4 linked regions of the Anolis sagrei genome follow. The protein of the gene in region 2 binds, or shares a complex with, the protein of the main gene of each other region. Links are inferred from orthologs where the notes say so. Each region holds a gene or a part of one and is shown on either strand. Other genes may lie near its edges. The genes, in order: DDX42, SF3B3, MFAP1 and SF3B4.

The links.
Region 1: the proteins of SF3B3 (region 2) and DDX42 are in contact, whole or in part, in a cryo-EM structure (PDB 7EVN), measured with the Homo sapiens proteins. The link is inferred for Anolis sagrei from reciprocal best matches to the Homo sapiens genes SF3B3 and DDX42. Residues at the interface, in NP_036558.3 of Homo sapiens: Glu159, Ala160, His161, Tyr211, His219, Val220, Val221, Arg222, Lys223; in NP_031398.2 of Homo sapiens: Lys145, Gly146, Ile147, Arg148, Asp149, Asp150.
Region 3: SF3B3 (region 2) and MFAP1 share a complex: the UniProt entries of both Homo sapiens proteins name them as parts of the spliceosome B complex. The link is inferred for Anolis sagrei from reciprocal best matches to the Homo sapiens genes SF3B3 and MFAP1.
Region 4: SF3B3 (region 2) and SF3B4 share a complex: the UniProt entries of both Homo sapiens proteins name them as parts of the SF3B subcomplex of the 17S U2 SnRNP complex. The link is inferred for Anolis sagrei from reciprocal best matches to the Homo sapiens genes SF3B3 and SF3B4.

The regions. Positions count from the first base shown.
Region 1 is NC_090026.1:29,726,502-29,734,600, forward strand, and holds the start of DDX42 (ATP-dependent RNA helicase DDX42), read right to left. Parts: upstream 3,209-8,099; 5' UTR 3,072-3,208; exon of another isoform or gene 3,068-3,071; intron 2,895-3,067; 5' UTR 2,817-2,894; intron 1-2,816. UniProt on the Homo sapiens protein: ATP-dependent RNA helicase that binds to partially double-stranded RNAs (dsRNAs) in order to unwind RNA secondary structures. Unwinding is promoted in the presence of single-strand binding proteins.
Region 2 is NC_090028.1:506,310-514,260, reverse strand, and holds the start of SF3B3 (splicing factor 3B subunit 3), read right to left. Parts: upstream 3,184-7,951; 5' UTR 2,979-3,183; intron 329-2,978; 5' UTR 297-328; coding exon 227-296; intron 1-226. UniProt on the Homo sapiens protein: Component of the 17S U2 SnRNP complex of the spliceosome, a large ribonucleoprotein complex that removes introns from transcribed pre-mRNAs.
Region 3 is NC_090029.1:22,573,529-22,581,399, reverse strand, and holds the start of MFAP1 (microfibrillar-associated protein 1), read left to right. Parts: upstream 1-4,741; 5' UTR 4,742-4,745; coding exon 4,746-5,172; intron 5,173-6,879; coding exon 6,880-7,229; intron 7,230-7,871. UniProt on the Homo sapiens protein: Involved in pre-mRNA splicing as a component of the spliceosome.
Region 4 is NC_090032.1:5,535,367-5,543,161, forward strand, and holds the start of SF3B4 (splicing factor 3B subunit 4), read right to left. Parts: upstream 3,233-7,795; 5' UTR 3,165-3,232; coding exon 3,131-3,164; intron 537-3,130; coding exon 408-536; intron 1-407. UniProt on the Homo sapiens protein: Component of the 17S U2 SnRNP complex of the spliceosome, a large ribonucleoprotein complex that removes introns from transcribed pre-mRNAs.

The sequences.
Region 1 (8,099 bases), on a different chromosome or scaffold from region 2:
TTTGTGGGGTTCCTCAGGGTTCAATACTGTCCCCCATGTTGTTTAACATCTACATGAAGCCGCTGGGCGAGATCATCCGGAGTTTCGGGGTGCGGTGTCATCTGTACGCAGATGATGTCCAGCTCTGTCACTCCTTCCCACCCGCTACTAAGGAGGCTGTCGAGGTCCTGAACCGGTGCTTGGCCGCTGTGACGGTCTGGATGGGGGCGAACAAATTGAAATTGAATCCAGACAAGACAGAGGTACTCCTGGTCAGTCGCAGGGCCGAACAGGGTATAGGGTTACAGCCTGTGTTAGACGGGGTCGCACTCCCCCTGAAGACACAGGTTCGCAGTTTGGGTGTGATCCTGGACTCATCGCTGAGCCTGGATCCCCAGGTTTCGGCGGTGACCAGGGGAGCATTCGCACAGTTAAGACTCGTGCGCCAACTGCGACCGTACCTTGGGAAGTCTGACTTGGCCACGGTAGTCCACGCTCTGGTTACATCCCGCCTTGACTACTGCAACGCTCTCTACGTGGGGTTGCCTTTGAAGACGGCCCGGAAGCTCCAATTAGTCCAACGGGCGGCAGCCATGGTATTAACAGGAGCAGGGCGCAGGGAGCATACAACTCCTCTGCTGTACCAGCTCCACTGGCTACCGATTAGCTACCGAGCCCAATTCAAAGTGCTGGCTTTGACCTTTAAAGCCCTAAATGGTTCTGGCCCTACATACCTATCCGAACGTATCTCGGCCTATCAGCCCACCAGGACCCTAAGATCTTCAGGAGAAGCCCTTCTCTCCATCCCGCCTGCTTCACAAGTGCGGCTTGCGGGAACGAGAGATAGGGCCTTTTCTGTGGTGGCCCCCCGGCTTTGGAATGCCCTCCCTACTGAAATAAGATCAGCCACCTCGCTAATGGCATTTCGGAAAAAACTGAAAACTTGGATGTTCGAGCAAGTTTTCAACTAATTCCGATGTGATGATGTTTTGATCATGGACTAGCAATCAAGGATAACGAATTGGATTACGACTTTAACTATGAGATGTTCCGGTCTGTATTGGTGGCCCAATACTATGTATGTATATGTATGTATTTTTATATTTTATTTTATATTTTTAAAGTGAATATTGTATTTTTAAATATGTTGTAAACCGCAATGAGTCGCCGCACAGGCTGAGATATTAGCGGTATACAAGTGTACTAAATAAATAAATAAATAAATAAATAAATATCTGTGTGTGTGTGTGTGAATCATATATATCTATCTACATCTATGGCTAGATGGCTCATTGTCAGGAGGGTCGGGTTCAGCTGTTAGGAATTGCGGGAGCTGAAGTCCAAAATATTTGGAGGAGCTGAGTTTGAGAGGCTGGTGGGGACGAGGGACAGGGCCTTCTCGGTGGTGGCCCCTCGCCTGTGGAATTCACTCCCCGGGGAAATTAGGTCATCAGCATCCCTCCTCTCTTTCCTCTCTTTCAGAAGGAAGTTAAAAACCTGGATATGGGACCAGGCCTTTGGGTAAGCTGGCAGATGGATAAAGGACAATGACAACCAGAGTAGGAAAGGATAATGCTGGATGGACTATGGATTTATGAATTGGCGAACATTGACCACAAGATGATTTTATTGCTGCTATTGTATTAATTGGATTGTTTTAACTAGTTATAGTTGTTGTTGTTATATTTTATTTTGTGAACTGTTAGGCATCGAATTGTGCCTTTTGTAAGCCGCCCTGAGTCCCCCCTAGGGGATTGAGAAGGGTGGGGTATAAGCGCTCGAAATAAATAAATAAATTGAGAAACACTATTCTAAATGATTAAAGGCATACTTTGCTCTCTCATTTACCCAATGACCTATGAAACTGGAATAACAGTCACTTTTCAGTGTAGGGTTATTTATTTATTTATTTATTTATAGTGTCAGTGCAACCAGTTGATTATATTACATTTCTAACAGAACAAAGCAAAAAAAAACCCAGACAAAATACTAAAAGTGTAGGGTGAGCAGTCATGAATGAAGGTAAGTCTGAGGGTGCATCTACACCAGGCATGGACAAATTTGGTCCCTCCTTGTGTTTTGGACTTTAACCCCCACACTTCCTAACAGCCATAGGTTGTTAGGAATTGTGGGATTTGAAGTCCAAAACACCTGGGGGGGGGGGGAGTTTGCCAGATTTACGCTATATAATTAATGCAGTTTCACATCACCATAACTGCCAGTGCACAATGCTTGAGGATCCTGGGAGTTGTGATTTGGTGAGACAACCGCATTCTTAGACAGCGAAGGCTTACAAAGCGTACAGTTCCAATAGCAGTTCCAAGTCATGTCAAACTGCATTAATTCTATGTATTGTCGAAGGCTTTCATGGCTGGAATCACTCAGTTCTTGTGGGTTTTTTCGGGCTATATGGCCATGTTCTAGAGGCATTTCTCCTGACGTTTCGCCTGCATCTATGGCAAGCATCCTCAGAGGTAGTGAGGTCTACTGGAACTAGTTTGCTCCAGGCACAGTCAGCCCATTGTATGCTAATCAAGGTGGTCAGTTGAAAGATTAACACCTAGCCCAACTTACAAAAGCCCTTTGTCTCACCCTGGTCATTCCACAGATATATAAACCCTTTTTCCTAGTTCCAGCAGACCTCACTACCTCTGAGGATGCTTGCCATAGATGCAGGCGAAACGTCAGGAGAAATGCCTCTAGAACATGGCCATATAGCACGAAAAAAACCCACAAGAACTGAGTGCATTAATTCTGTCATGGAGATGCACCCTGAGGCCGCTTGGATCAGGACCTCTGGAGGAAGCCGCTTTCCCCCGTCGCCTCAGTGTCAATACCTGCTCAAGCTTCACGCCTACTTGGTCACCTTTGGCAAGAGTCCGGCGGATTCCTCTGGAGGCGAGAGACCAGGTCGCCTGGCGGAGGGGAGACAAACAGAACGGGATCAGCTCCAAAGGCTTCTGTGGCTCCGCTAGGCCGCAGCCCCGCCCCCTTCCCCTTCCTTCTTCCCCAGCGACCCCACAAGGCCTGGCAGCGCTTCCTGCGCCTTTACTTCCTTTCCCCCAGTGTTTATTTCCCCGCTTCTTACCCACCACCTTGTGTGACACTTCCTTTTTCCGCCCTTTCTCCCGCCGTCCCTCAGAACTCCACTCTTTTACTACGAGGGAAGAAACGGGGCGCGACGTTGGCCACCGTGACGCGATGACGTCACCGCGCAACGGCTCGCTCGCGCTGTCCTCCTCCGTGGTGACGCCATCGACAGTGGCGGCTGCTTACGTTATAAGTAGGCGCAGCACCGTAGAGTCAGAAGAAAGAGTCACACGTGCCTTTATTTCCTTATGGGCTCTTTTAAGCAGGAGGAGGCTTGTGTAGAGCTCTGGTTAATTAGGGCTTTCCGTATTTCATTTTATTATTTTGTTCCTTCAAAGCCTCTTCCACACAGCTCTAAAAAATCCACATTGAGCTGGATTATATACGTGGGGTTGCCTTTGAAGACGGCTCGGAAGCTCTAACTAGTCCAACGCTCGGCAGCCATGATAGTAACAGGAGCAGAGCGCAGGGAGCACACAACTCCTCTGCTGCACCAGCTCCACTGGCTCCCGATTTGCTACCGGGCTCAATTCAAAGTGCAGGCGCTGGCCTATAAAGCCCTAAACGGTTCTGGCCCAAGTTACCTATCCGAACGTATCTCTGCCTATCAGCCCGCCAGGACCCTAAGATCTTCTGGGGAGGCCCTGCTCTCTATCCCGCCTGCTTCACAGGTGCGGCTGGCGGGGACGAGAGACAGGGCCTTTTCTGTGGTGGCCCCTCGGCTGTGGAACGCCCTCCCTATGGAGGTTAGATCAGCCCCCTCACTAATGGTGTTCCGAAGAAGATTAAAAACTTGGATGTTTGAACAGGCATTCAGATAAACAGTGCAATGAATGTGATGATTACAGGAATGGAAATTTGGACGACGAATTGGATCACGACTCTAGTTATAAGATGTATTGTGTTTGTTTATTGTTGTGTCAATATTGTATACTATGCTCTTATGGTTTTAAATTGTATATCGTTGATTGATTTTATCCTTGTTATAAACCTTGTTTATCCTTGTTGTAAACCGCGTTGAGTCGCCTGTTGGGCTGAGAAACTGCGGTATACAAGTAAAGTAAATAAATAAATAATATGGCAATGTGGATTCAGGGCCCTTACACACAGCCCTACATCTCAGAATATCAAGGCAGAAAATCCCACAATATATGCTTTGAACTGGGTTATCTGACCCCCTTCCACACAGTTAAATAAAATCCCACATCTGCTTTGAAATGGAATATATAATAATAATAATAATAATAATAATAAACTTTTATTTATATCCCGCTACCATCTCCCCATTGGGGCCCCCGGTGGCGCAGTGGGTTAAAGCACTGAGCTGCTGAGCTTGTTGATCGAAAGGTCACAGGTTCGATTCCGGGGAGCGGCGTGAGCTTCCGCTGTCAGCCCTAGCTTCTGCCAACCTAGCAGTTCGAAAACATGCAAATGTGAGTAGATCAATAGGTACCGCTCCGACGGGAAGGTAACGGCGCTCCATGTAGTCATGCCAGCCACACGAACTTGGAGGTGTCTACGACAACGCTGGCTCTTCGGCTTAGAAATGGAGAGTCAGACATGACTGGACTTAATGTCAGGGGGCTACCTTTACCTTACCATCTCCCCAGGGGACTCGGTGCGGCTTACATGAGGCCGAGCCCAGAATACAACAATACAAGCAATAACAACAACAATGGAAGCAATTAAAATCAAACAAAACAATAAAACAATAATATAAGCATTAACAATAGGCCCACACACTTTAAAATCTATGGGTAGGCCAAATGTAATTAAAATTTAAAAATAATGCTGGACATGGGTGAAAAAGTGATGGGGCGTTTGGAGGACAAAGTGCTATGGGATCATTATTCTGGGAAAGCACACTGGAACAACCACGTCTTCAAGCTCCTCCTAAAGACTGCCGAGTTGGGGCATGCCTGATGTCCTTAGGAAGTGAGTTCCAGGGTCAAGGGGCCACCACCGAAAAGGCCCTCTCACGCTTGCGATGCAGGTGGGAGCGTGAGCAGGGCCTCTCCAGGTGATCGAAGAGATCGTGTGGGTTCGTATACAGAAATGTGGTCACGCAGGTAGACGGGTCCCAAACCGTTCAGGGCTTTGCAGGTGAGAACCTGCACCTTGAATTGGGTCCGGAAAATGAATGGCAGCCAGTGGAGCTCCTTAAACAGGAGGGTTGACCGCTCCTTGTAAGGAGCCCCGGTTAACAACCTGGCTGCCGCCCGTTGGACCATCAAGGGCAGCCCCACGTAGAGTGCATTACAGTAATCCAGTCTAGAGGTGACTTAAGGCATGGACCACCCTGGCCTATATGGCAATATGGATTCAGATAACCCAGTTCAAAGCAGATATTGTGGGATTTTCTGCCTTGATATTCTGGAATACAGGGCTGTGTGGACAGGCCCTGAGTCTACACTGCCATATCTTCCAGTTCAAAGCAGATAATATGGGATTTTATTTGACTGTGTGGAAGGGGCCACAGATGATCCAGTTCAAAACAGATATTGTCGATTATTTGACTTGATATTCTGGATTATATGGCTATGTGGAAGGGCCCCAAATTATTCCCCAATTGTAGCAATCCTAAAGTCCTAATCTAGGGTTCTTCCATCCAGCCATATAACCCAGAATATCAAGGTAGATAATCCACAATATCTGCTTTAAACTGGGTTATCAGAATCCACACTGCCATGTTATCCAATTCAATGTGGATGTTATACAGCTGTGTGGAAAGGGCCCCAGTTCAAAGCAGATATTGTGGATTGTCTGCCTTGAAATTCTGGGTTATATGGCTGAGTGGAAGAGGTCATAGTACAAAGTTTGCTTGGAAGATTTGTCCAAATGAGATTTGCCTTCCTCTGAGGTTGAAAGAGCATGACTTGTCAGCCAGTGGGTTTCAATGGCAAAGCAGGGATTCAAACCCAGGCCTCCAGAGTTAGTCTCCTTCTACACTGTCATATAATCCAGATTATCCAAGCAGATAATCCACATTAACTCCTTTGAAGTGGATTATATACATCTTGTTGTTGTTGTTCATTCGTTCAGTCATATCTGACTCTTCGTGACCTCATGGACCAGCCCACGCCAGAGCTCCCTGTCGGCCGTTACCACCCCCAGCTCCCTCAAGGTCAGTCCAGTCACTTCAAGGATGCCATCCATCCATCTTGCCCTTGGTCGGCCCCTCTTCCTTTTGCCTTCCACTTTCCCCAGCATAATTGTCTTCTCTATATACATCTAACCTGCCATATAAACCAGTTCAAAGTAAATATTCTTGATTATATGGCAGTGTAGATCGTTACTTTTTTTTATTCGTATCACCAAGCAGCAGCCAGTCTGCTTCACTCCTGTTCTTCTTCAGTCATGTGACAAAGGGCCACTTCACATTGCAGCAGCTTTTTTTTTATCGTGTAAGGAGTAACTTGAGAAACTGCAAGCCGCTTCTGGTAGTCGCTTCTGGTATGAGAGAATTGGCCGTCTGCAAGGACGTTGCCCAGTGGATGTCCGGATGATTTGATGTTTTCTATCATCCTTGTGGGAGGCTTCTCTCATGTCCCCGCATGAGGAGCTGGAGCTGATAGAGGGAGCTCATCCGCCTCTCCCCGGATTCGAACCTGCAACCTGTCGGTCTTCAGTCCTGCCGGCACAGGGGTTTAACCCACTGCGCCACCAGGGGCTCCACCAGGGGCAGCAGCTAATCCCCTTCATTCCTTTTCTTTCCCTATGTTCTTGACTTTATAAGGTTCAAACCCCTCAATTATTTTAAATTGGACCATGAAAAGTGTGTGTGCCAAATTTGGCCCAGATCCATCAAACCAAGTAAGAGCCTTTGTAGCATAAACTGACATACATACATACTTTGACACACACATATAGATCAGAGGTTAATTGAAATTTGAATCTGTGCCACTAATAACTATTGGGTAGGACTGATAAGACAAATAGCTGTCAGTAGTCCGAAAGGCTATCTGATAGCTATGTCTAGCTATCAATGCAAATCAGGCTTTTCAGTTTATGTTTACACCCTGTGGCTGGATCTATTCTGTCATATAAAATTCAGATCATCTGTTTTGAACTGGATTATATGGCAATGTAGACTCATATAATCCAACCATAGATGATACGTTGTGGGTTCTAAGGCCCCTTCTACACTGTCATATAATCCAGATTATCAAAGCAGATAATCCACATTTGCTTTGAAATGTATTATATGAAGTCCCTTCTACACAGCTGTATAAAATCCCACATTAACTGGATTATATGGCAGTGTGGACTTAGATAACTCAGTTAAGTGGATATTATGGATTATCTGCCTTGATATTCTGGGTTATATGACTGTGTGGAAGGGCCATCAAGGCCAAAAATCACACAATAGACAATCTACATTATCTGCTTTGAACTGGATTACAGGAGTCTATACTGCCAAAGCAGGTAATCTGGATTTTGTACAGCAGTGTAAAAAGGGCCATAGCTGTATTGTTTTTAAGGTTGTGAGCCTTAAAAAGCTTCAAGCCTAATTTAAAAGAGGAAAGTGGGGTAAAATAAATATCATTATCACCATCACATTTTTATAATTATTTATATTTTAATCTCCTTTATTGCACTTTGAGATTTCAAGAATAGCAAAATAAATAACCATATAAATAATGAAACGGAGGTATTCCTGAAAAAGATGTATATCTTACTGTAGTATGAGATTTTAGTAAGTAAGAATAGTGAAAGAAAGAAAAGGAAGGAAGGAAGGAAAGAAGGAAAGAAAGAAAGAAAGAAAAGAAGGAAGGAATGAGAAGGAAAGAAGGAAAAGGAAGGAAAAAAGGAGAAGGAAGGAAAGAAAGAAAGAAAGAAAGAAAGAAAGAAAAAGGAAGGAAGGAGAAAGAAAGAAAGAAGGAAGGAGAAGGATGGAAGGAAAGAGAAAGAAGGAAGGAAAGAAAAGGAAGGAAGGAGAAGGAAGGAAAGAAAGAAAGAAAAAGAAGGAAGGAAGGAGAAAGAAAGAAAGAGAAGGAAGGAAAGAGAGGGAAGGAAGAAAGGAAGGAAGG
Region 2 (7,951 bases):
GCTACTCTGTATTTGTATTTATATAAATCGCATATAAAGAATAACCAATAAACAATAACACACAAAGATTTAAAAACCTATGGCCGGGCCAAATGTATGAACAAGGTAGGATATATCTGGTATAGGGTTTTAAAAGAGATGAGGGAGCGCAGTCCAACATATGGGTCTTACGAGGTGGCTCCTGCATTAGCTGCACATACATGCTACCAGTTAGAATGGCACTCACCTGAAAAATTGCCATGGATGGCATAGCTGATGCCTGTGGCTCGCTGCAAGGTCAGGTTGTAAAGGAACATGGTGCCGGTTCGAGGTCTTCACCTCCGTCCTCCTGCCAGCAACAGAGTCAAGCCATTAGAGACAAACGCATAGAATGGAATCGATCCACACATTGAAATGAATGCTCACCGATTCAGAAAAGGGGATCGAGATCATAGGCAAGAATGCATCATACAAGCATTTCCAAAATCAAAACACCACTTTGCAAATCCCTCAATATTTGGTTTGAGGAAGAAAGCATCTTGTCAACATGAAAACACCACACTCTGAATATATTGATCTCCTTGATATGCTAAGAAGGAATCAATTTTCTTTCTCCCTTCTCCAGCTCTGACAAGGAAGGTCCTCCTTACAATGCCTTATTATTGCCACCTGGTAGACGGCACAGGGTGACAAAGACAAGGACAGGCAGGCTGAAGGATAGCTTTCACCCTAGAGCTGTGGCTATGCTAAACTCCACAGCACTTCGTTGATGTGCAAGGGAAAGGCATTTAATCCTGTTGCACGATACACATCAGGCATGGGCCAACACCAGGCCCATTATTAATGTACAACGACAACAAAGCTATTCTAGTCTATGTATTTGTGCATATATACAGTGTTGCTTGAGTGTCACTGGAACCGCTGCCAGCCTGCATTGATGTGGCATTGGAGGCTGTGCGGTGGAGGTGGGCGTGTGTTGTCTTTGCGGTGTGTGGGGGGAAAGCATTTAATCTAGTTGCACAATGCACATCAGGCATGGACCAACACCAGGCCCATTCCTGATGCATGGTGGCAATAAAGCTATTCTATACTAGTCTATTCTCTTATTATTGCTATCTGGCAGATGGTGCAGTGCGACAAGGACAAGGACAGGCTGAAGGATAGCTTTTACTTTGGAACTGTGGCTATGCTGAACTCCATGGCTTCACATCGATGTGCCATAACAATTAGAATGTGGAGGGGTAGGTGTGTTGTTTTGCGGTATGTGCTGGGTCAACACCAGGACCATGCCTGAAGCACAATGGCAATAAAGCTGTTCTATACTATTCTCCTCTTATTATTGCTATCTGGCAGATGGCGCAGGGTGACAGAGAAAAGGACAGACAGACTGAAGGATCGCTTTGACTGACTAGAGCTGTGGCTATGCTAAACTCTGTGGCATTTCACCAATGAGGCCTTGGAGTGTGCAGTGTGTGCAAGGGGGGGGGGATTTAATCTCGCTGTACAATGCATATCAGACCCATTCCTGATGCACAATGATAATAAAAGTATTTATTCTATATATTTGTGTGTATACCCAGTATTGCTTGAGTGTTATTGAGACTGTGGCCTGCCTACCTTCTCCCTTCTCCAGCTCTGAGAAGGAAGAAATGCCTTCTTATTGCCACCTGGCAGACAGTGCAGGGTGACAAAGAAAAGGACAGACAGGCTGAAGGATAGCTTTTACTCTTAAGTTGTGGCTATGCTGAACTCCATAGCATTTCATTGATGTGGCCTGAGGGGATGTGCAAGGGAAAGGCATTTAATCTCGTTGCACAATGCGCATCAGGCGTGGACCAACACCAGGCCCATTCCAGATGCACAATAACAATAAAGCGGTTCTATTCTATTATATTCTTCTCTTATTTCTTTCTGGCAGATAGCACAGGGTGACAAAGACAAGGACAGGCAGGCTGAAGGATCGCTTTCACCCTGGAGCTGTGGCTATGATGAACTCCATGGCTTCACATTGATGTGGTTTTGGGGGTTGTGCAGTGTGTGCAAGGGGAAAGCATTTAATCTCATTGTACAATGCACATCAGGCATGGGCCAACACTATTATATTCTATGTATTTGTGTGTATACCCAGTATTGCTTGAGTGTCATTGGGACCGTGGCCTACCTACTTTCTCCCTTCTCCAGCTCTGAGAAGGAAGGCCCTCCTTACAATGCCTTATTATTGCCATCTGGCAGACGGTGCAGGGTGACAAAGACAAGGACAGGCAGGCTGAAGGCTCACTTTTACTCTAGAGTTATGGCTATGCTGAACTTCATGGCTTCACATTGATGTGCCTCCTTTCCCCCTTCTCCAGCTCTGAGAAAGAAGACCTTCCTACACTCACTCTGAGGCCTTTCCCTTTGATATGCGAAGAATCCCTGAGGCCTTTCCTTCAGGGTAGCCAGGCATGAAAGCTATTATATTCCATGCTCACACTCACTCTGAGGCCTTTCCCTTTGCTATGCGAAGTCTCTCTGCGGAGGCCTTTCCCTCACGGCGGCCAGGCGTGAAAGCTATTCTATTCTATGCTCACACTCACTCTGAGGCCTTTCCCTCAGGGCGGCCAGACGCACTTTCTCCCTTCTCCAGCACTGAGAGAAAAGCCCTTCCTAACACTCACTCTGAGGCCTTTCCCTCAGAGGGGGCCTTCCTTTCCTTATTATTTGTGCACATCTCCCGTGTGGTAGGGGCTTTCTCCCTTCTCCAGCTCTGAGAAAGAAGACCTTCCTACACTCACTCTGAGGCCTTTCCCTTTGATATGCGAGGAATCCCTGAGGTCTTTCCCTCACGGCGGCCAGGCGTGAAAGCTATTGTATTCTATGCTAACACTCACTCTGAGGCCTTTCCCTCAGAGGAGGCCTTCCTATCCCTCTGGGCGGCCAGGCTTGAGGCTCCGGCCTAGGCCCCGGCCCTCCTCCTCCTCCTCCTCCTCGGCCTCTCCGGCTCCTCCGCCCGGGCCTACCTCCAATCCCGGCCCAAGGGAGACCCCGGCTCCCGTTGTGAGTCTCCCCGGCGTGGCTGGGGCCCCGGCACGGCGAGGATGGCGAAGGATTTTCCCGGCCGCGGCCTGCTTCACCTCAGCGGCGCCATGGCGGCCTCTCTTCCCGCGCGCGCAGGCCAAAAGGGGTCCTTCCTTCTTTCCTCTCTCTCTGCCCGGGGCTGCCTTCGGCGCGCCTGAGCGAATTCCCGGAGCGACTTCCGCCCGGCCAACCGGAAGTGATGCTTTTGAGTAGGGGTCCTTCCTTCCTTGCGCTCTTCTGCGGGGCTGCCCTCGGCGCGCCTGAGACAATTTTCGACCGGCAAACCGGAAGTGATGATGGTGAGGGGCGCGGGGCCAAGATGGCGGCGCTGGGGAAGGAAGGCCGCGCGGTTGGCGGACCCGGAGTTCCTCCTGCCGCCTCTGCCTCGCTCTCCATGGAGGAAATACGCGCCCTCCCCGGCCTCACGGAGCTCGAGGCCGCCTACAGCCGCCTCTGCGCGGAAGAGGTGGGAAAGGAGGCAGGAAGGGTCCCCAGAGGGCATCCAGCCCAACCCGGAAATGAAGGAATATGGGGGAGGGTCATGGAATCACAATAATAGAGTTGGAAGGGACCCCCAAAGGCCACCTAGTCCAACCCCTTTCTGCCATGCAGGAAAAGCACCATCAAAGCACCCCTGACAGATGGCCATGCAGCCATAATAATAATAGAGTGGGAAGGGACCCCCAAAGGCCAACTAGTCCAACCATTTTCTGACATTCAGGAAAAGCACCATCAAAGCCCTCCCAACAGATAGCCCATCCAGGCTCAGAAATAATAATAATAATAATAATAGAATCCTAGTTGGAATGGACCCCAAAGGCCATCCAGTCCAACCTCATGATGCCATGCAACCATAATAATAATAATAATAATAATAATAATAGAGTTGGAAGAGACCACATGGGCCATCCAGTCCAACTCCATGATGCCATGCAGGAAAAGCACCATCAAAGCCCCCCTGATAGATGGCCGTCAAGCCTCAATAATATTCATGATGGTAATGATGATGATGATGATAAAGTTCAAAGGGACCTCAAAGGCCAACTAGCCTCAGTAATAATAATAATAGTAGTAGTAGTAGTAGAATCCTAGAGTTGGAAGGGACCCCAAGGGCCATCCAGTCCAACCCCTGCCATGCAGGAAAAGCACTATCAAAGCACCCCTGACAGATGGCCATTCAGCCATAATAATAATAATAGAGTTGGAAGGGATCCCCAAAGGCCAACTAGTCCAACCCCTTTCTGACATGCAGGAAATGCACCATCAAAGCCCCCCTGACATGATGACCATCCAGCCTCAGTAATAATGATAATAATAATAGAATCCTAGAGTTGGAAGAGACCCCAAGGGCCATCCAGTCCAAACCCATTATGCCATGCAGGAAAAGCACCATCAAAGCCTCCCTGATAGATGGCCGTCCAGCCTCAATAATATTCATGATGATGATAGAGTTCAAAGGGACCCCAAAGGCCATCTAGCCTCAGTAATAATAATAATAATAATAATAATAATAATAATAATAATAGAATCCTAGAGTTGGAAGGGACTCCAAGGGCCATCCAGTCCAAACCCATTATACCATGCAGGAAAAGCACAATCAAAGCACCCCTGACAGGTGGCCATTCAGCAATAATAATAATAATAATAGAGTTGGAAGGGACCCCAAGGGCCATCCAGTCCAACTCCATGATGCCATGCAGGAAAAGCACAATTGAAGCACCCCTGGCAGGTGGCCATGCAGGCATAATAATAATAATAATAATAATAATAATAATAATAATAATATAATAATAATAATAATACCACCCTCAATAATATTCAATAATAATATAGGGTTGGAAGGGATCGCATGGGCCATTCAGTCCAACCCTTGCCATGCAGGAAAAGCGCCATCAAAGCCCTCCCAACAGATGGCCACCCAGCCTCAGTAATAATAATAGAATCCTAGAGTTGGAAGGGACCCCAAGGGCCATCTAGTCCAAACCCATTATGCCATGCAGGAAAAGCACAATCAAAGCACTCCTGACAGATGGCCATGCAGCCATTATTATTATTATTATTATTATTATTATTATTTTGGTTACAGTGAACACCTAAAAAGCCATTCCCTTGGTATGTTTTCAGATCACAGTCGAGGAAGAGCTGGAGATGCTTCTGGAACAGCAGGGCACAATCGAGGGCAAGATGGCTTCCCTCCATCGCATGGGGTGAGTGAGATATTTTGCACATAGTTTGCAAGGGTGTTTAGGGGTGCAAGGCTCTAACATTGCCAAGGACGGAGAGAGTGGACGCCGTGAGAGCCAGAGTGGCTTCTTTCCCTCCTCTCTGTTTCCAGCCCCAACCTGCAGCTGATCGAAGGCGATGCCAAGCAGTTGGCCGGGATGATCACCTTCACCTGCAACCTGGCAGAGAACGTCAGCAGCAAAGTCCGGCAGCTGGATCTGGCCAAGGTAACCCTGTCAGGCAGGAATCGCCCCGTCATCTCCTCCGTACCCACTTGGCTGCAGGAGGCCAACTGCAGGGATGGCTCATTATTTTATTTATTTATTTATTTGCTATACTTGTATACCGCCGTTTCTCAGCCTAGCCGGCGACTCAACGCGGTTTACAACAACTTATAACAAACAACAGTATACAGTTTAAAAAGCATAAAAACATAATCCACAATACATATATCAATAAACAATCCAATACATCTCTTGACTAAAAACGTGATCCAGTTTCGTCGTCCAAATTGCCAGTCCTTCAATCATTACATTTATTGCACTGGGTTAACCGAACGCCTGCTCGAACATCCAGGTTTTTAGTCTTTTCCGGAATACCATCAATGAGGGGGCTGATCTTACCTCCATGGGGAGGGCGTTCCAGAGCCGCGGGGCCACCACAGAAAAGGCCCTGTCTCTCGTCCCCGCCAGCCGCACCTGTGAAGCAGGCGGGATAGAGAGCAGGGCCTCCCCAGAAGATCTTAGGGTCCTGGTGGGCTGATAGGCCGAGATACGTTTGGATAGATAAGTTGGGCCAGAACCGTTTAGGGCTTTAAAGGTCAACGCCAGCACTTTGAATTGAGCCCGGTAGCAGATCGGCAGCCAGTGGAGTTGGTGCAGCAGAGGAGTTGTATGCTCTCTGCGCTCCGCTCCTGTTAAAATCATGGCTGCCGAGCGTTGGACTAATTGGAGCTTCCAGGCCGTCTTCAAAGGCAACCCCACGTAGAGAGTGTTGCAGTAGTCTAAACGGGATGTAACCAGAGCGTGGACTACCGTGGCCAAGTCAGACTTCCCAAGGTACGGGCACAGCTGGCGCACGAGTTTTTTATCTTCTTCTTCTTGCAGAACCGCCTCTACCAGGCCATCCAGAGAGCGGATGACATCTTGGACCTGAAGTTCTGCATGGACGGAGTTCAGACGGCCCTGCGGGGCGAAGATTACGAGCAAGCCGCCGCTCACATCCATCGCTACCTTTCGCTGGACAAGTCGGTCATTGAGCTCAGCCGGCAGGGACGAGAAGGTATCGGATGCCATTTCTGTATGAGTCGCAAACATCCTAGGACCCTTCCACACAGCCATCGAACCCAGAATATCAAGGCAGGAAATCCCACAGTTATCTGAGTCCACACTGCCACATATTCCAATTCAAAGCAGATAACGTGGGATTTTTTTCAGCTAGGAGGAAGGGGCCCTCGCTAAGAACAACGGGGCTGAGAGAACAGGAAGTAGGAGGGAAGGAAGGGAGGGAAATCCACAGTATCAAGGGGGAAAGTGGGTTTCCAATGAAGCTCTAGCCCCAAACCTTGTTTCCACAACAGGCAGATTTCCAAAATCCAATTCTTACAAGAGTAGAAAGTGAGGTGAAATCTTCCAAACAAGGGCACAGACAGCAAAGGAAACACCACAGGGGTGTTTGCCCTTCCCTAGGCCATCCAAGATTATACACACACACACACACACGTGTGTGTGTGTATGTATGCATGACTATATGTATGTGTCTGTGTGTGTATATATAATTCTATATCTATATAAATAAAAATGTAATGTTTGTTTGTGGGATTAACACAACTCAAAAACCACTGGGCGAATTGACACCAAATTTGGACACAACACACCTAACAACCCAATGTATGTCCTTCACTCAAAAATTATGATTTTGTCATTTGGGAGTTGTAGTTGCTGGGATTTATAGTTCAGCTACAATCAAAGAGCATTCCGAACCCCACCAACGAAAGAATTGAACCAAACTTGGCACACAGAACTCCCATGACCAACAGAAAATACTAGAAGGGTTTGGGTGGGCAATGACCTTGAGTTTGGGAGTTGTAGTTCACCTACATCCAGAGAGCACTGTGGACTCAAACAATGATGGATCCGGACCAAACTTGGTAGGAATACTCAATATGTCCAAATATGAGCACAGATGGAGTTTGGGGGAAATAGATCTTGACATTTGGGAGTTGTAGTTGCTGGGATTTATAGTTCACCTACTATCACAGAGCGTTCTGAACCTCACTAACGATAGAATTGGGCCAGACCTCCCACACAGAACCTCCATGTGGGCCACAGCAACGCATGGCAGGGGACGGCTAGTGTGTGTATATATACACACATGCACATACATATGGCTGGAGTTACACTTCAGAGGGCCACCTGATGATGCAGCAGGTTAAACTGCTGAGGTGCTGAACTTGCTGATCGAAAGGCTAACGGTTCGAATCCAGGGAGCAGGGTGAGCTCCCGCGGTTAGCCCCAGCTTCTGCCAACCTAGCAGTTTGAAAACCTGCAAATGTGAGTAAATCAATAGGTACCGGGAGCAGCGTGAGCTCCCACTGTTTAGCCCCAGCCCAGTGACTGGTGGGGCAGCGGGAGTGGACACTACACGGGCCTCCCTCCCTTTCCCTGCAGGCAGCATCATCGAGGCCAACCTG
Region 3 (7,871 bases), on a different chromosome or scaffold from region 2:
AGTAACTTTATTATCATTGTACATCGTACAACGAAATTAAAAACCATCCCCAATGCACATTGCAATATATGTAGAATTACAAAACAAAAAGACAAATCCTTCCACTATTTCACAGTGGGTTCAAACCATCCTTAGGCTCCAAAGACAAACACAGGCCAGAGGTTGAAGGTAGTAGGGAACATGACATGTTTTATTTTTAAATACTTGCACAATCTAATTGTACAATGGTAGTAAGAGTATACTTTGGAAGCCTCTTTGAGCACTTCATAATCCGCCAGTGATGTTAAATGTCACCTAAGAAGAACGTATCTGACAAAACCAGCTCCGCCAAAGCACTTGGCTCATTGCCCTCCTCCACACACAACTCCTCCTCCTCCTCCGTGGCTTTTCTCACTGTTCTTGCCTTTCCAAAGTTAAACCATAGGTCACTCAGCCATCTGACTTCCTCCCACACACAGCTTAAAATGCAAAAAGCAGGGCAAAACTTTTCAGGGCATCCAAAGGGCTAAAACTGCTATCGTTTAGAAAGTTAGTAATAGGAGTAAGTGTCCCTAATCAACATCCAAAAGGTGAACTGTTCTTCCAAACTTGCAAAAGTTTTAGAACAAAAAGAATTCATTTGATTCTAGATCCAAGCCACAGATCTAACACCTACATCTCATTCTGATCTTTAACCCAAATGCAAGATGGTTCTAAGATAAGTTTGCTTTCCAAGGGGCCAACCTTATTAGAAACTAGGCCAGGCCCTATTTTCAGAATTATGTATGCCAGGGAAAAAAAGGTTTAGGTGAGAATTAGCTTCGAAATGGCAACATCAAAGCTCTGCAAGTCTGCTAATCAATGGTCCAGGGGAAATTGAAAGTGAAAAAGTGAAGGCAATGCTATAAAAAAAGGGGGAAACAAACAAATGTGAATACATACGCATGTGACCATTTTTATGGCCAGATTGGAAGGGGAGATGACACAAGGAAAATGACCAGCCTGCTGTCCTCACAAGGCTCCCATGATGTTTGGACATAGCATTGACTCGCATGGGATCCAATGAGTGTTGTTGTTGTTTGGTGCCTTTGTGTTGTCACTGACTTATGGAGACTTCATCATGGGGTTTACTTGGCATGATTTGTTCAGAGGAGGTTTGCCCTTGTGGCTGAGAGAGTGCCCCAGCCTTTCACTCAGCCCACTGGAGGACCAAGTGATTCCAAGGAAGATCACCTTCTGGGAACTTAGGTCATTTTCTTTGGGACCTTCTGAGACAGCAACCTTTAACGCCTCTTTCTCCTGGCCTTCTTATCTCGCTGGCATTTTCCCTAATCCACAAAGTGATGCACCTGAGGACAATGTGTCCACCTCTCTGTTATTGTTTCAGTTCTCATTATGACTCCTCTGACAAAAGACTTCCAGGAGGGATATTCTCTGAATCCTTACTAGTGCAGGTCAGTGCTGCCCACCCATCTCCTCAATGCCACCTGAACATGGATAGAAGGCAGCCCTGTTCCCCTTTCTGATCCGACCTGCTCTTTCTGAGAACGTGCAAGGAGAAAACTCCATGTTCTTTTCCTGTGGCCAGCTCTGATCCATCCCTTGGGCACCTGGAGCCCCTGATGTGAGGAAGCCATGAGGCCAGGGGTCTGGTCAAGAATAGAATAAAATGACTTCATTGTCATTGTACATCATACAACAAAATTTAATGCCACCCCCCATACCCATTAAATGTGTATGATGACAAAAACAAAGCACCATTCTTCCACAGTGTGGAACCCTAGAATTTAAAAGAATCACAGCCCTGGGATAAAACCTCTTTCTCAGCCTATTTGTCCTTGTTTTGCTCATCCTATCCCACCTCTTCAGATGATAATAATTAGACGAAAAAGAAGAATATCCAGGGTGAGATGGATCCTTAAGAATATTCTGAGCTTTCTTAAGGCAGCTGGAAGTATGACATTGTTCCAAAGAGGAGAGAAAAAGGGAAACCCATAATACTCTGGGCAGGAGTGAGAAGTAACACTCTGGAATGCCTTCGTATCTCCCGCTGTGCAATTGGCAAACCGTATGCAGATGCAATAAGTTAGAACACTCTCTATAGCGCAGTGGTAGAAAAGTCAAAAGCAGTTTTCCATCCAATTGTTGGTTCCTTAAAAGTGTCAGATAAATGACCACACATGAGGGAGCACCCAGGGATGGCTCTACCATGAGGCTAAAGGAAGTGGTTGGATTATAGTTTGATACTGTTATTTTTAGATTATCTTGTCAATTCTTTAATCCGTGTGACAAAATAATTTGACTGACAAAATGCCATGGGCAAGTCATCTATATTAACTAATATGCATGTTCTAGTTGTAATTAAACATAATCCTGTACCCTGGAAACTAATATAACATTGCTCATAATTTTCCATCTTTCACCACAGTGAAACTGAGTAATTGAATTACACAGCTATATCTAACGGGTCATATGTTCAAGTGAAAAGTAGAACTTACTGCAGTTTTGTTTTGCTTTATAAAAGGAATGATAATATTAATATGAAAAATGCCTCTTAATCCAAGTGTTAACATATATTTATGTTAAAACATTTTTTTAATTCAATAAAGTTTGAAAAAGGCCTCCTGGTGGCACAGCGGGTTAAACCACTGAGCTGCTAAATTTGCTGACTGAAAGGTTGGCGGTTCGAATCCAGAGAGCAGTGAGCTCCTGCTGTTAGGCCCAGCTTCTGCCAACCTAGTAGTTTGAAAACATGTAAATGTGAGTAGATGAATAGGTACTGCTTCGACCCGAAGATAAAGGCGCTCCATGCATAATAATAATAATAATAATAATAACAATAATAATAATAATCTTTATTTATACCTCACATCTCCCCGAAGGGGACTAAGGGCAGCTAACATGAGGCCAAGCCTAAAGATACAATACAGCAAAATAAAGTGCATAATACAACAACAAAAATTACATCACAATAAAGTACATACAGTGGCAAAATAAAGTAAACAAAGCAAAATAGCATAATAGAAAATCGAACACAATGGGCAGGCCAAATGGACAAGATAAAATGATAAAACCTTGAATGAGGTAGGAGTAGAAAAAGTGTATTTGAGAGGAGCCCAAAAAGAACGAACAGTACGGTTAGGCCTTCAATTTAGGACGGGAGAAAGTGCATCATAAGGACAACACTGTAGATGGAACAGACAGAAATGGGATGAATGGTCACTCTCTAAAGGCACAACTGAAGAACCAGGTTTTCAGATCTTTCTTAAAGATTGCTAGAGTGGGGGCTTGCCTAATCTCACCAGGTAATGAGTTACAAAGATGAGCACCACTCCTGAATTGGACACGATTAGACTTAATGTCAAGGGAAAACCTTTACCTTTACTAGCGTTTGAAAACTGAAAAAGAAAAGTCTCAGATAATAATACAATCTCTGCTGGACTCCCTTAACCAAGGAAGCTGCAGTATGAACGCTGCCCTTGGTCTGGTCTTCCTGATCTTGACAATATAGCAGCCAAGTTTGTGGGACCAGAATTGCCTAAACAGCGGAGTGCAATGGGAGGGTGCATCTCCCTTGTAGAGTTGATGCAGTATAACTTGCTATGGCAGGAAGGCCTTGCAAAACTGTAACTCTTGGGACTCTATTGGTCCAACAAGTGACCTGGTGTCCAGCTGCATTTGTTCTGCATCTCTGCCCCTTTGCCACTGAGGCCCAGGCAAAGGGCCAGAGGCAACAGGCGAAGCATGTCATCAAAGCACAGGCTGCCCTTGGTTTCCTTGTTTGCACAGAGGCTCTCAAAGAGGGACCTAGTGAAGATAAACAACGCTTTATCAGAAGATAAACAAAGCTCCCCTTCTAGGCCCTTTAGGACAACAAACAACGTTAACTTCCCGTCTGTCAAGATGAAAGAAGGGGAAGAGAGGGTTGCATCATTAGCGTCTGCTCCAATGATGACACCAGGCATGGACAAACCTGGACCCTCCAGGTGTTTTGGACTTCAACTCCCACCATTCCTAACAGCCACAAGCTCTTTGGGCCCTACAGATGTTTTGGACTCCAACTCCCACCATTCCTAACAGCCTCAAGCTCTTTGGGCCCTCCAGGTGTTCTGGATTTGAACTCCCACAATTCCTAACAACCGCTCTTTGGGCCCTCCAGGTGTTTTGGACTCTAACTCCCACAATTCCTAACAGCCTCAGGCTCTTTGAGCTCTCCAGGTGTTTTGGACTTCAACTCCCACAATTCCTAACAGCCACAGGCTCTTTAGGCCCTCCAGGTGTTTTGGACTTCAACTCCCAGAATTCCTAACAGCATCAGGCTCTTTGGGCCCTCCAGGTGCTTTGGACTTCAAGTTCCACAATTCCAAACAGCTTTAAGTTCTTTGAGCCCTTCAGGTGTTTCGGACTTCAACTCCCACCATTCCTAACAGCCACAGGCTCTTTGGGCCCTCCAGGTGTTTTGGACTTCAACACCCACCATTCCTAACAGCCTCAGGCTCTTTGAACCCTCCAGGTGTTTTGGACTTGAACTTCAACCATTCCTAACAGCCTCAGGCTCTTTGAACCCTCCAGGTGTTTTGGACTTCAACTCCCATCATTCCTAACAGCCTCAGGTCCCTTCCTTTCCCCCCTCAGCCGCTTAAGGAAAAGGAAAGGGCCTGAGGCTGTTAGGAATGGTGGGAGTTGGAGTCCAAAGCACCTGGAGGACCCAAGTTGGTCCAGGCCTGTTCTTAAGCAGCTGAGAGGGGAAAGGAGGGTCCCTGAGGATGTTAGGAATTGTGGGATGTGGAGTCCAAAACACCTGGAGGGCCCAAGTTGGTCCAGGCCTGGATTACACTCTCTCAGCCTCAGAGGAAATCCCCGTCTGCCACCTTTTCCGGAAGAAGTCTGGCCCAGGAAGACGCTTCCGCGCCGACAGAGGGCGCAGACGGTATGAGTCGCTCTATCCAGCTCCGCTCGTTGGTCCTCTTTGGGAGCGGAAGTCACGCGCTCCCTCTGGGCTTGTTTACCTACGAAGCTTCCGGTTCCGGGTTTCCCCGCGAGAGGCGAAGCGAGAGGGATCCGCCGTGCCTAGTGTTGCCTCTGCCGCTTCTACGGCCTCTACCGCCGCCATGTCGGGCTCCAGCAGCGCCCTCATGAAGCAGCCGCCCATCCAGTCCACGGCGGGGGCCGTCCCCGTCCGAAATGAGAAAGGTGAGAACGTGGCCATATTCGGGCCCCGCTGAGGCCTGCTTCTTCTGCGCCTCCTCCTTTCTGGTCTCCTTCTTTGAACAGAGGCCGAGTGGCCACCTGTCGTGAGAGCTTTGATCGTGTCTTCCGTCCTGGCCGAAGGGGGTTGGACTGAAGCACCTTTAAAAATCCCTTCCTATTCTTATTCTTTGCTGTTACTATGTTGTCGAAGGCTTTCATGGCCGGAATTACTGGGGTGCTGTGAGTTTTCTGGTCTGCATGGCCATGTTCCAGAAGCATTCTCTCCTGACGTTTCGCCTGCATCTATGGCAGGCATCCTCAGAAGTTGTGAGGTCTGTTGGAAACTAGGGTTATATATCTGTGGAATGTCTAGGATGGGAGAAAGAACGCTTGTCTGTTTGAAGCAGGTGTGAATGTTCCAATGGGCCACCTTGATTAGCATTTAATGGCCTAGCAGTTTTCAAGGTGTGGCTTCTTACTGCCTGGGGGCATCCTTCGTTGAGAGATTATTAGCTTTTTTGTCATGTCAGGAGCGACTTGCGAAACTGCAAGTCGCTTCTGGTGTGAGAGAATTGGCCATATGCAAGGACATTGCCCAGGAGATGCCCAGATGTTTTGGTGGTTTACCATCCATGTGGGAGGCTTCTCTCATGTCCCCGCATTCAAACCTGTGACCTGTTGGTCTTCAGTCCTGCTGGCATAGGGGTTTAACCCATTGCCTCTTGTAAGCTGCACCGAGTCCTTCAGGAGATTTTTTTTTGTCGTGTAAGGAGTGACTCCTGGTGTGAGAGAATTGGCCATCTGCAAGGACGTTGCCCAGGGGACGCCTGGATGATTTGATGTTTTTATCATCCTTGTGGGAGGCTTCTCTCATGTCCCCGCATGAGGAGCTGGAGCTGATAGAGGGAGCTCATCCGCCTCTCCCCGGATTCAAACCTGTGACCTGTCAGTCTTCAGTCCTGCCTGCACAGGGGTTTAACCCACTGCACCACCGGGGGCTTCTTCCTTCGGGAGATGGTAGCGGGGTACAAATAAAGCTTTATTATTATTATTATTATTATTATTATTGTGCCACCAGGGGCTCCAGGTGATTAGCTGTCCCTGATTGTTTCTTGTCCGGAGCTCCCCAGTCTTTATTTAATAAAAAAATCTGGCTACCAGTATTACAAATCTCTAAAATCATAATAAAGACAGGGGATCCTTGAGCCGTGAGGAGGGGCGGGTAAGAATTATTATTATTATTATTATTATTATTATTATTATTATGTTCCCGGTGGTACCCATGTTAGATATTTTGTAGTCCTATTTATTAGGAAGAGTTGTTTGTTTGGTTTTGGTTGTTATGAATGGACCCATTAGAAAACATATTGCTGCATAATGGGATCATTTCTAAAATGGTTCAGGTGAAGGATGCAACCCTCACATGGTCCACGTTTGGCCAGCTGTAATTCCCATGCCCTCCTTCAGTTGTGAGTGGGGCTCAGGCAGCACCCCTGAAGGGCCTTGATTTCAGTTCCCATCATGCACTATTGTGCCTCCCTAATGTCACCAGTATTTTAAGCTGGTTGTGCAAGTATGCGTGCTGAGTTTGTGGAAAAATAGATAAACACATATGCTGATACATATGTTAACAAATATACAAATATTTTGACCTTTATTGCATAGATAGATGATTTGGTGACCCTTTCTTTTTCTGCTTCATATCTTCAGGGGAGATCTCCATGGAGAAGGTGAAGGTGAAGCGCTATGTCTCGGGGAAGCGCCCAGACTATGCGCCCATGGAATCCTCGGATGAGGAGGAGGAGGAATTCCAGTTCATCAAGAAGGCCAAGGAGCAGGAGCAAGAGCCCGAGGAGCAGGAGGAGGAGCTGGCCAGCGACCCCCGCCTGCGCCGCCTCCAGAACCGCATCTCAGAGGACGTAGAGGAGAGGTTGGCGCGGCACCGAAAGATTGTGGAGCCGGAGGTGATAGGGGAGAGCGACTCCGAAGTGGAGGGAGAGGACTGGCATGTGGAGCGAGAGGACACCAGCGAGGAGGAAGAGGAGGAAGTGGATGACGAGGTACAGGGCAGCTTGGGTTGTGCTGTATGCTCTTTCTTGGCAGAAGAAACTCTGATCTTTTGTGTGTGAGTGTGTATACACACACATACATATACACTTACTTGAGTACCTGGCTTTGCCCAGGTTATTTAAAAAAATCAATGTTTTAATTGTACAAAATGCATAAGGTTGTGGATGAGCTGCAACTCATATTGTGCCAGGATAACCTTGAAAACCTCCATCAGTACTTCAAGTTTGTTATGTTGGGCAAGTTTGCTCTAGATGCATTATTGGTAGGGTTCAATGTGCTCTCTGGCTGTAGAGTAAACTACAATTCCCACTATGGTGAGTCAGTCCCCTCAAAACTCCTACAGTAGGTTCAGTTGCTCATGGGGGTTCTGTGTACCAAGTTTGGTCCAGGTCCATCATTGATGGAGGTCACAGTTTCTCTGGTTATGGGTGAACTACAACTCCCAGAAAGGAAGGTCAGTTCCTCCCAAACCTCTCCAGTAATCAAATTTTGGCATATCAGGTATGTATGCTGAGTTTGGTCCATTGGTGTTTGGGTTCACAGTGCTCTCTGCATGTAGGTGAACTACAACTCCCCCAAGTCATGGTGGATTTTCCTCAAATAACTCCAGTATGTTTTACTGGTCATGGAGG
Region 4 (7,795 bases), on a different chromosome or scaffold from region 2:
CTTTAACCCACTGCGCCACCGGGGGCTCCTCTTTATGGATTACCAGTCCCAAAATCCCCCAACTGTCATAGCATAGCTGACTAGGGGATCCTGGCAGTGTCAGTCCTAAAAGGAGCCTTATTTTCCCATGCTCTGGAAGTCTAGTCTTCAAGATTTGAAGTAAAAGGATCTTGTTTGTGTATGTGCCTTGACGACTTGTGACGACCCCATGAATTTCAGAGGGTTTTCCTGGGCAAGGAATACACAGAGGTGATTTTACCTTTGAAATACAGCTACAGAACTTGAGATTTCTTGGTAGCCTTCAATCCAAGTACTCACCAGGCCTGCCCCTGCTTAACGTCTAAGAGCTGGTGGATTTACTCCATTCATAACACAGCACATTGAGAAAAGGTGCTGGAATTGCTTACCTTGATGTTGGCCCGTGACTCTGTCTTTGGGCATGTGAGTGTTAACCACTGGTCCTGCTTGGAGGAAGAGTTCCCACAGGAGGGGTTCGCTGACTTTTTCATCCAGGCCGCCAACATACACAGTGGCATCTGCAGCAGATAAGAGAGGGACAATAGTTATAGTCTCAAATGCCTTCATGAATCTTGTTTGCTGATGTTACATTTGAACCTAAAGCTGACTTTGATGTGATCCTAGGCTGCATCAATTAAAAGTCTAGTTCTAGATCAGGCATCCCTAAACCACAGTCCTCCAGCTGTTTGGGCCTCCAACTCCCAGAATTCTTGGCTAATAATAATAATATAACAACTCTTTATTTGTATTCCGCTCCATCTCCCCGAGGGACTCAGGACGGATTCCAGCATGTACTGACACAGGGAAACATTCAATGCCTTGAAACAATGAAATACAGACACACGGATAAAGATAAAGGATTCCCCTTCAACTCTGGCTCTGGGGGTGGTGCTCATCTCCCATTTTTAAGCCAAAGAGCCTGCATTGTCCGTAAACACCTCCTGGGCCATGTGGCCGGCATGATTGCATGGGGCGCCGTTACTTTCCCTCAGCCATTGATTGAGGTTCTGGGTTTGAGCCTGCCACTTTTGAACTCTCGCTTGCTGGGGTGTTCCAGTGAGTGTCTCTGTAGATCCCAGAAAACTATGTCTTGATTTAAGTCGTTGACGTGCTGGCTGATATCTAAACAGGGGATGTGCTGGAGATGTCTCTGCCTTGGTCCTTTCACTTGGCTGCTACTTCCTGGCGGATGTCAGGTGGTGCAATACCGGCTAGACAGTGTAATTTCTCCAGTGGTGTAGGGCTCAGACACCCCGTAATAATTTGGCATGTCTCATTAAGTGCCACATCCACTGTTTTAGTGTGGTGAAATGTGTTCCACACTTTGGCTGGCTCAAACCCAGAACCTCAATCCATGGCTGATACCAAATGAGAGAGCCCCCCCCCCCCCCCTGGGCACACAGAAAACTGGGCGACTTGGAAGGCACCAAACAGACCGCACTTCGAGATGCAGAGCCAACCATAAGAAATGGGGTTACAAAGTGGAATCCACGACATGCGAGTGTGGAGAAGAGCAAACCACTGACCACCTGCTGCAATGCAACCTGAGCCCAGCCACATGCACAATGGAGGACCTTCTTGCGGCAACACCAGAAGCACTCCAAGTGGCCAGATACTGGTCAAAAGACATTTAATCAACCACCAAACTCACAAATGTTGTATTTTGTCTGTTTGTTTGCTTTGTTCTGTTAAAAATGTAATATAATTGACTGGTTGCCCTGACACAACAAATAAATTATTACTGCATTCCCACCTAGCTCCAGCAGACTATTTATTTATTTAGCAATTTTGTATACCGGTCTTCTCCCCTCTATCGGGGGACTCGGGCCAGTTTCCAACAATAAAATCACAAAACAATCATTAAAAACATCATATAACATATTCAATTAAAACGTTATAACAGCAAAATGCAATCACATAATAACAATGGTCAGTCGTCATAGTGAACTCGTTGTCCATCATTCATCGTCATCTATCCAATCACAGAAATACTGATTCACTCGTCGAAAGCCAAACCCCATAGCCAGGTTTTCACCTGTTTTCTGAACGACAGAATGGAGGGGGCAGTTCCGATCTCCAGTGGGAGAGAGTTCCAGAGTCGAGGGACCACCACCGAGAAGGCCCTGTCCCTCATCCCCACCAGACATGCCTGAGAGGCCAGTGGGACTGAGAGCAGGGCCCCTCCAGACAATCTTAACAACCTAGATGGTTCATAGGGGAGAATACGTTCGGACAGATAAACTGGGCCGTTCGGACAGGTAAAATGGGCCCCATTTCTTAAGACTGGCTCAGCATCTCGTGGTGCCAGAGCACAGTCTGTGCAGCGCCTTCCAAGTCGCCCAGTCTTCTGAGTGCCCGGGGGGAGTCTCTCATCTGGTATCACCCATGGATGGAGGTGCTGGGTTTGAGCCTGACACTTTTGGACTCTCGCTTGCTGGGGTGTTCCAGCGAGTGTCTCTGTAGATCTTAGAAAACTATGTCTTGATTTAAGTCGTTGACGTGCTGGCTGATACCCAAACAGAGGATGGGCTGGAGATGTCTCTGCCTTGGTCCTTTCACTATTGGCTGCTACTCCCCGGCGGATGTCAGGTGGTGCAATACAGGCTAAGCAGTGTAATTTCTCCAGTGGTGTGGGGCGCAGACATCCCGTGATAATGCGGCATGTCTCATTAAGAGCCACATCCACTGTTTGAGCGTGGTGAGATGTGTTCCACACTGGGCATGCATACTCAGCAGCAGAGTAGCATAGCGCAAGGGCAGATAGATGTCTTCACTGTGTCTGGTTGTGATCCCCAGGTTGTGCCAGTCAGCTTTCGTATGATGTTGTTTCTAACCTACAACAACCCACTGATTCGTTAATTCGTTGCTTAATTCCTGCTGGAGCGGGCCCTTGTGCAACAGAGCTACAAACCCTGGCTGGAAATGGAAAGGGAGGCCAGAAATGCTGGAGCTTCCCCTTCCCAGTTTGGCCTAGCCGCCATTATTGGCGCCTAAACCAGAGAAGAGACTCTCCAGACCCTAATATTCCCCTCTCTCCTTCCTTTGAGGGACGTTCGGAGGCCATTGGGGCTGTTGGGCCTTCTCAAACAGGCCTCCTCCTCCCTGCCTTTACCTTGGTTCCGCTCAGAGATGGGCCCCGCCGCCATCTTGGATGCCACACTCCCCGGCGCCGAGGCGGGAGAGCGCTACGCAAGGCTACTTCCGTTCCAGGACGGAAGTGACGCTAAGTGAGGGCGAAGCAGCATCTTGGGCCCAATACACCCTTTTTCTGTCCATTTCAGGGCAACTTCCGTTTTAGACCGGAAGTGGCTCTTCTGAGGGCCAGAGGAATGTCAACACCGTCGGCCATCTTGTGTCCTGGCAAAATAAAACCCGCGTCGACTCTTTTTGTCAAAAAGGGGAAAGGAATGAAATGAATCACTCGGTTTATTGTGTGTTTTGAGGAACAAGGAGGGCGAGGAAAGCAGGATCGTCGTCGACTAAAAGGAAAGAGGAGGCAAAGTAAAGGTGCGCATGCGCAAAAACACCTACGCACACCGTCGCCGCCATTTTGAGAGAGGGCGGAAGTGTTAGTACTAGGGTTGCTATTCAACTAATCAGCAGCCTTCTTTCTTTGCCTTCCCACATATATCTTTCCCTTCCTTTTCTTTCTTTCTGGCTACCAGTATTTGAAAAAAAACTTCTTCAAATTAGGACAGTAAATAAAGAGCAACACTTAAAAAACAGGGGGATTCCAGACAGGAAACAATCAGGGCCAGCTAACACCTCCCAACAAAGGATTCCCCCCGGCAGCCAGGCTTTGAAGCTGCAAGGCCATTCGATGCTGGCAACATTCACGCTTGCCTCCAACAGACAAAGAGTTCTTTAGGTTCTTGTGGGTTTTTTCGGGCTATAGAGCCATGTTCTAGAGGCATTTCTGCTGACGTTTCGCCTGCATCTATGGCAAGCATCCTCAGAGTTCTTTCTTCCTTCCACCTTCCAACAAAGGATTCCCCCCTCGCAAGAAGCAGCCAGGCTTTGAAGGTGCAAGGCCATTCGATGCTAATCACGGTGGCCACTTGCAACATTCACACTTATCTCAGACAGACAAGAGTTCTTCCTCCCACCCACCTCCCAACAAAGGATACCCCCAGGCTGGAAGCAGCCAGGCTTTGAAGGTGCAAGGCCATTCGATGCTAATCAAGGTGGCCACTTGCAACATTCACACTTATCTCAGACAGACAAGAGTTCTTTCTCCCACCCACCTCCCAACAAAGGATTTCCCCTTGCAGGAAGCAGCCAGGCTTTGAAGGTGCAAGGCCATTTGATGCTACTCACGGTGGCCACTTGCCTCAGACAAGAGTTCTTTCTCCCACCCACCTCCAAAGAAAGGATTCCCCCGGCAGGAAGCAGCCAGGCTTTGGAGCTGCAAGGCCATTCGATGCTAATCAAGGACGCCACTTGCAACTTTCACACTTGCCTCTAATAGACAAGAGTTCTTTCTCTCACCCACCTCCCAACTAAGGAGTCTCCCAGGCAGGAAGCAGCCAGGCTTTGAAGCTGCAAGGCCACTCAGTGCTGACAACATTCACACTTGTCTCCAATGGACAAGAGTTCTTTCTCCCAACCACCTCCCAACTAAGGATTCCCTCAGGCAGGAAGCAGCCAGGCTTTGAAACTGCAAGGCCATTCGATGCTGGCAACATTCACGTTTGCCTCCAATAGACAAAGAGTTCTTTCTCCCACCCACCTCCCAACTAAGGATTCCCCCTTGCAGGAAGCAGTCAGGCTTTGAAACTGCAAGACCATTCGATGCTGGCAACATTACTTGCCTCTAACAGACAAGAGTTCTTTCTCCCACCCACCTCCCAACAAAGGATGCCCCCTTGCAGGAAGCAGCCAGGCTTTGAAGCTGCAAGGCCATTCGATGCTAATCAAGCTGGCCACTTGCAGCATTCCCACTTGCCTCCAACAGAGAAGAGTTCTTTCTCCCATCCTGGACATTATCCCACAGACCCCTCAACCTGCCATAGATGGGGGAGAAACGTCAGGAGAGAATGCTTCAGGAACATGTCCATACAGCCCGGAAAACTCACGTAAGCCCAATGGAAGAAGGGCTGCACAGGGCGCCAGGTAGTCATTTGTTCCCAAAAAATGATTTTTTTTAATGGCTACTCAGAGACAAGAAACAAAGAGAGCACCATTGGGAGTTCTTAAAATACTGAAATCTTTAATAGAGGCTGAAATGGAGCTCCTGCCATATAAAATTATATTATGGGTTGTGGAGAAGATACCTGGGTTTTTACTCGTGTGCGTCATGCCACAAGAAACGTGTAAAAATCAGCACACAGTTCCCATCCTAAGTGCTGTGCAAAGGTAAACATTGGGAACAAGCTATATATATATATACAGCAATCTATCCCATAAAGAACATTTTGAAAACCAAATCCAGCAATAATGTATTTGTCAAAGCTGAGAACAAGCCAAAGATATGCAACTAAAATAGAAAGCCAAGAACATTATTATTTCCATCCCATTTCCAGCCTATTTACAATTGCACCTGAGAGCAGTATTTATCTAATTTCGTAACCACAAGCAAATGTATGCCATATTTATTTTATTCTTATGCTTTTACTGTTGTTGCTTTATCATTATTATTATTATTATTATTATTATTATTATTATTAGACTCCTTCTCTGACAGCTCCTGAAAGAAAGCTTATGAGATGACTAATAATAGTCATTATTATTATTATTATTATTATTAGCATCCTTCTCTTACAACTCCTGAACGAAAGCTTATGAAATGACTAATAATAGTCATAATAATAATAATAATAATAATAATAATAATAATAATAAGTGTCCTTATCTTACGGCTCCTGAACCAAAGCTTATGAAATGACTAATAATAGTAATAATAATAATTATTATTATTATTATTATTACTATTATTATTATTAGCGTCCTTCTCTTACAGCTCCTGAACGAAAGCTTATGAAATGACTAATAATAGTCATTATTATTATTAATATTATTATTAGCGTCCTTGTCTTACGGCTCCTGTACCAAAGCTTATGAAATGACTAATAATAGTCATAATAATAATAATAATGACTATTATTAGTCATTTCATAAACCTTATTTCAGGAGCCGCAAGAAAAGGACGCATTATTATTATTATTATTATTATTATTATTATTATTGTTGGCTCCTGAAAGAAAGCATATGAAATGACTAATAATAGTAATAATAATAATAATTACTCTTAGTCATTTCACAAGCTTTCTTTCAGGAGCCATAAGAGAAGGACATTATTGATAATAATAATAATTATTATTATTATTATTATTATTATTAATCATTTCATAAGCTTTCTTTCAGGAGCTGTAAACGAAGGACACTAATAATAATAATAATAATAACTATTATTATTATTAGTCATTTCATAAGCTTTCATTGTTATTATTATTATTAGTGTCCTTCTCTTACGGCTCCTGAAAGAAAGCTTATGAAATTACTAATAATAGTCATAATAATAATAATAATGACTATTATTAGTCATTTCATAAGCTTTCTTTCAGGAGCCATAAGAGAAGGACGTTAGTAATAATAATAATAATTAGTCATTTCATAAGCTTTCGTTATTATTATTATTATTATTATTATTATAACCTCACCTCTGAGGAAGCTTGCCATAGATACAGGCGAAACGTCAGGAGAAATGCCTCTAGAACATGGCCATATAGCCCGAAAAAACCCACAAGAACTGAGTATTATTATTATTATTATTATTATTAGTGTCCTTCTCTTGTTGTTGTTGTTGTTGTTCATTCGTTCAGTCGTCTCCGACTCTTCGTGACCTCATGGACCAGCCCACGCCAGAGCTCCCTGTCGGCCGTCACCACCCCCAGCTCCCTCAAGGTCAGTCCAGTCACTTCAAGGATGCCATCCATCCATCTTGCCCTTGGTCGGCCCCTCTTCCTTTTGCCTTCCACTTTCCCCAGCATAATTGTCTTCTCTAGGCTTTCCTGTCTCCTCATGATGTGACCAAAGTACTTCAACTTTGTCTCTAGTATCTTTCCCTCCAGTGAGCAGTCGGGCTTTATTTCCTGGAGGATGGACTGGTTGGATCTTCTCGCAGTCCAAGGCACTCTCAGAACTTTCCTCCAACACCACAGTTCAAAAGCATCTATCTTCCTTCGCTCAGCCTTCCCTAAGGTCCAGCTCTCACATCCGTAGGTGACTACAGGGAATACCATGGCTTTGACTAGGCGGATCTTTGTTGCCAGTCTGATGTCTCTACTCTTCACTATTTTATCGAGACTGGACATTGCTCTCCTCCCAAGAAGGAAGCGTCTTCTGATGTCCTTCTCTTACGGCTCCTGAACGAAAACTTATGAAATGTCTAATAATAGTCATTATTATTATTATTATTATTATTAGCATCCTTCTCTTATGGTTCCTGAATGAAAACATATGAAATGACTAATAATAATAATAGTAATAATAATAATAATAATAGTAATAATAATAAGTGTTAAACAGCTTGTGCTTCCTTTTCTTATGGCTCCTAAGCTAAAGCTCATGAAAAAAAATACAAAAATGTTGCATTATTATTATTATTATTATTATCATTATTATTATTGCTGCTTTAAACCACTTGTGCCTCCTTTGCTTAAGGCTCTTGGACTAAAGCTTATAAACAACGTACCAAATGAAAAAAAACTCTAACAGCAGCATGAAAACTTCCCCATGGAATGTCTATACAGCACCAGAGGAACTATATTTCCCCTGA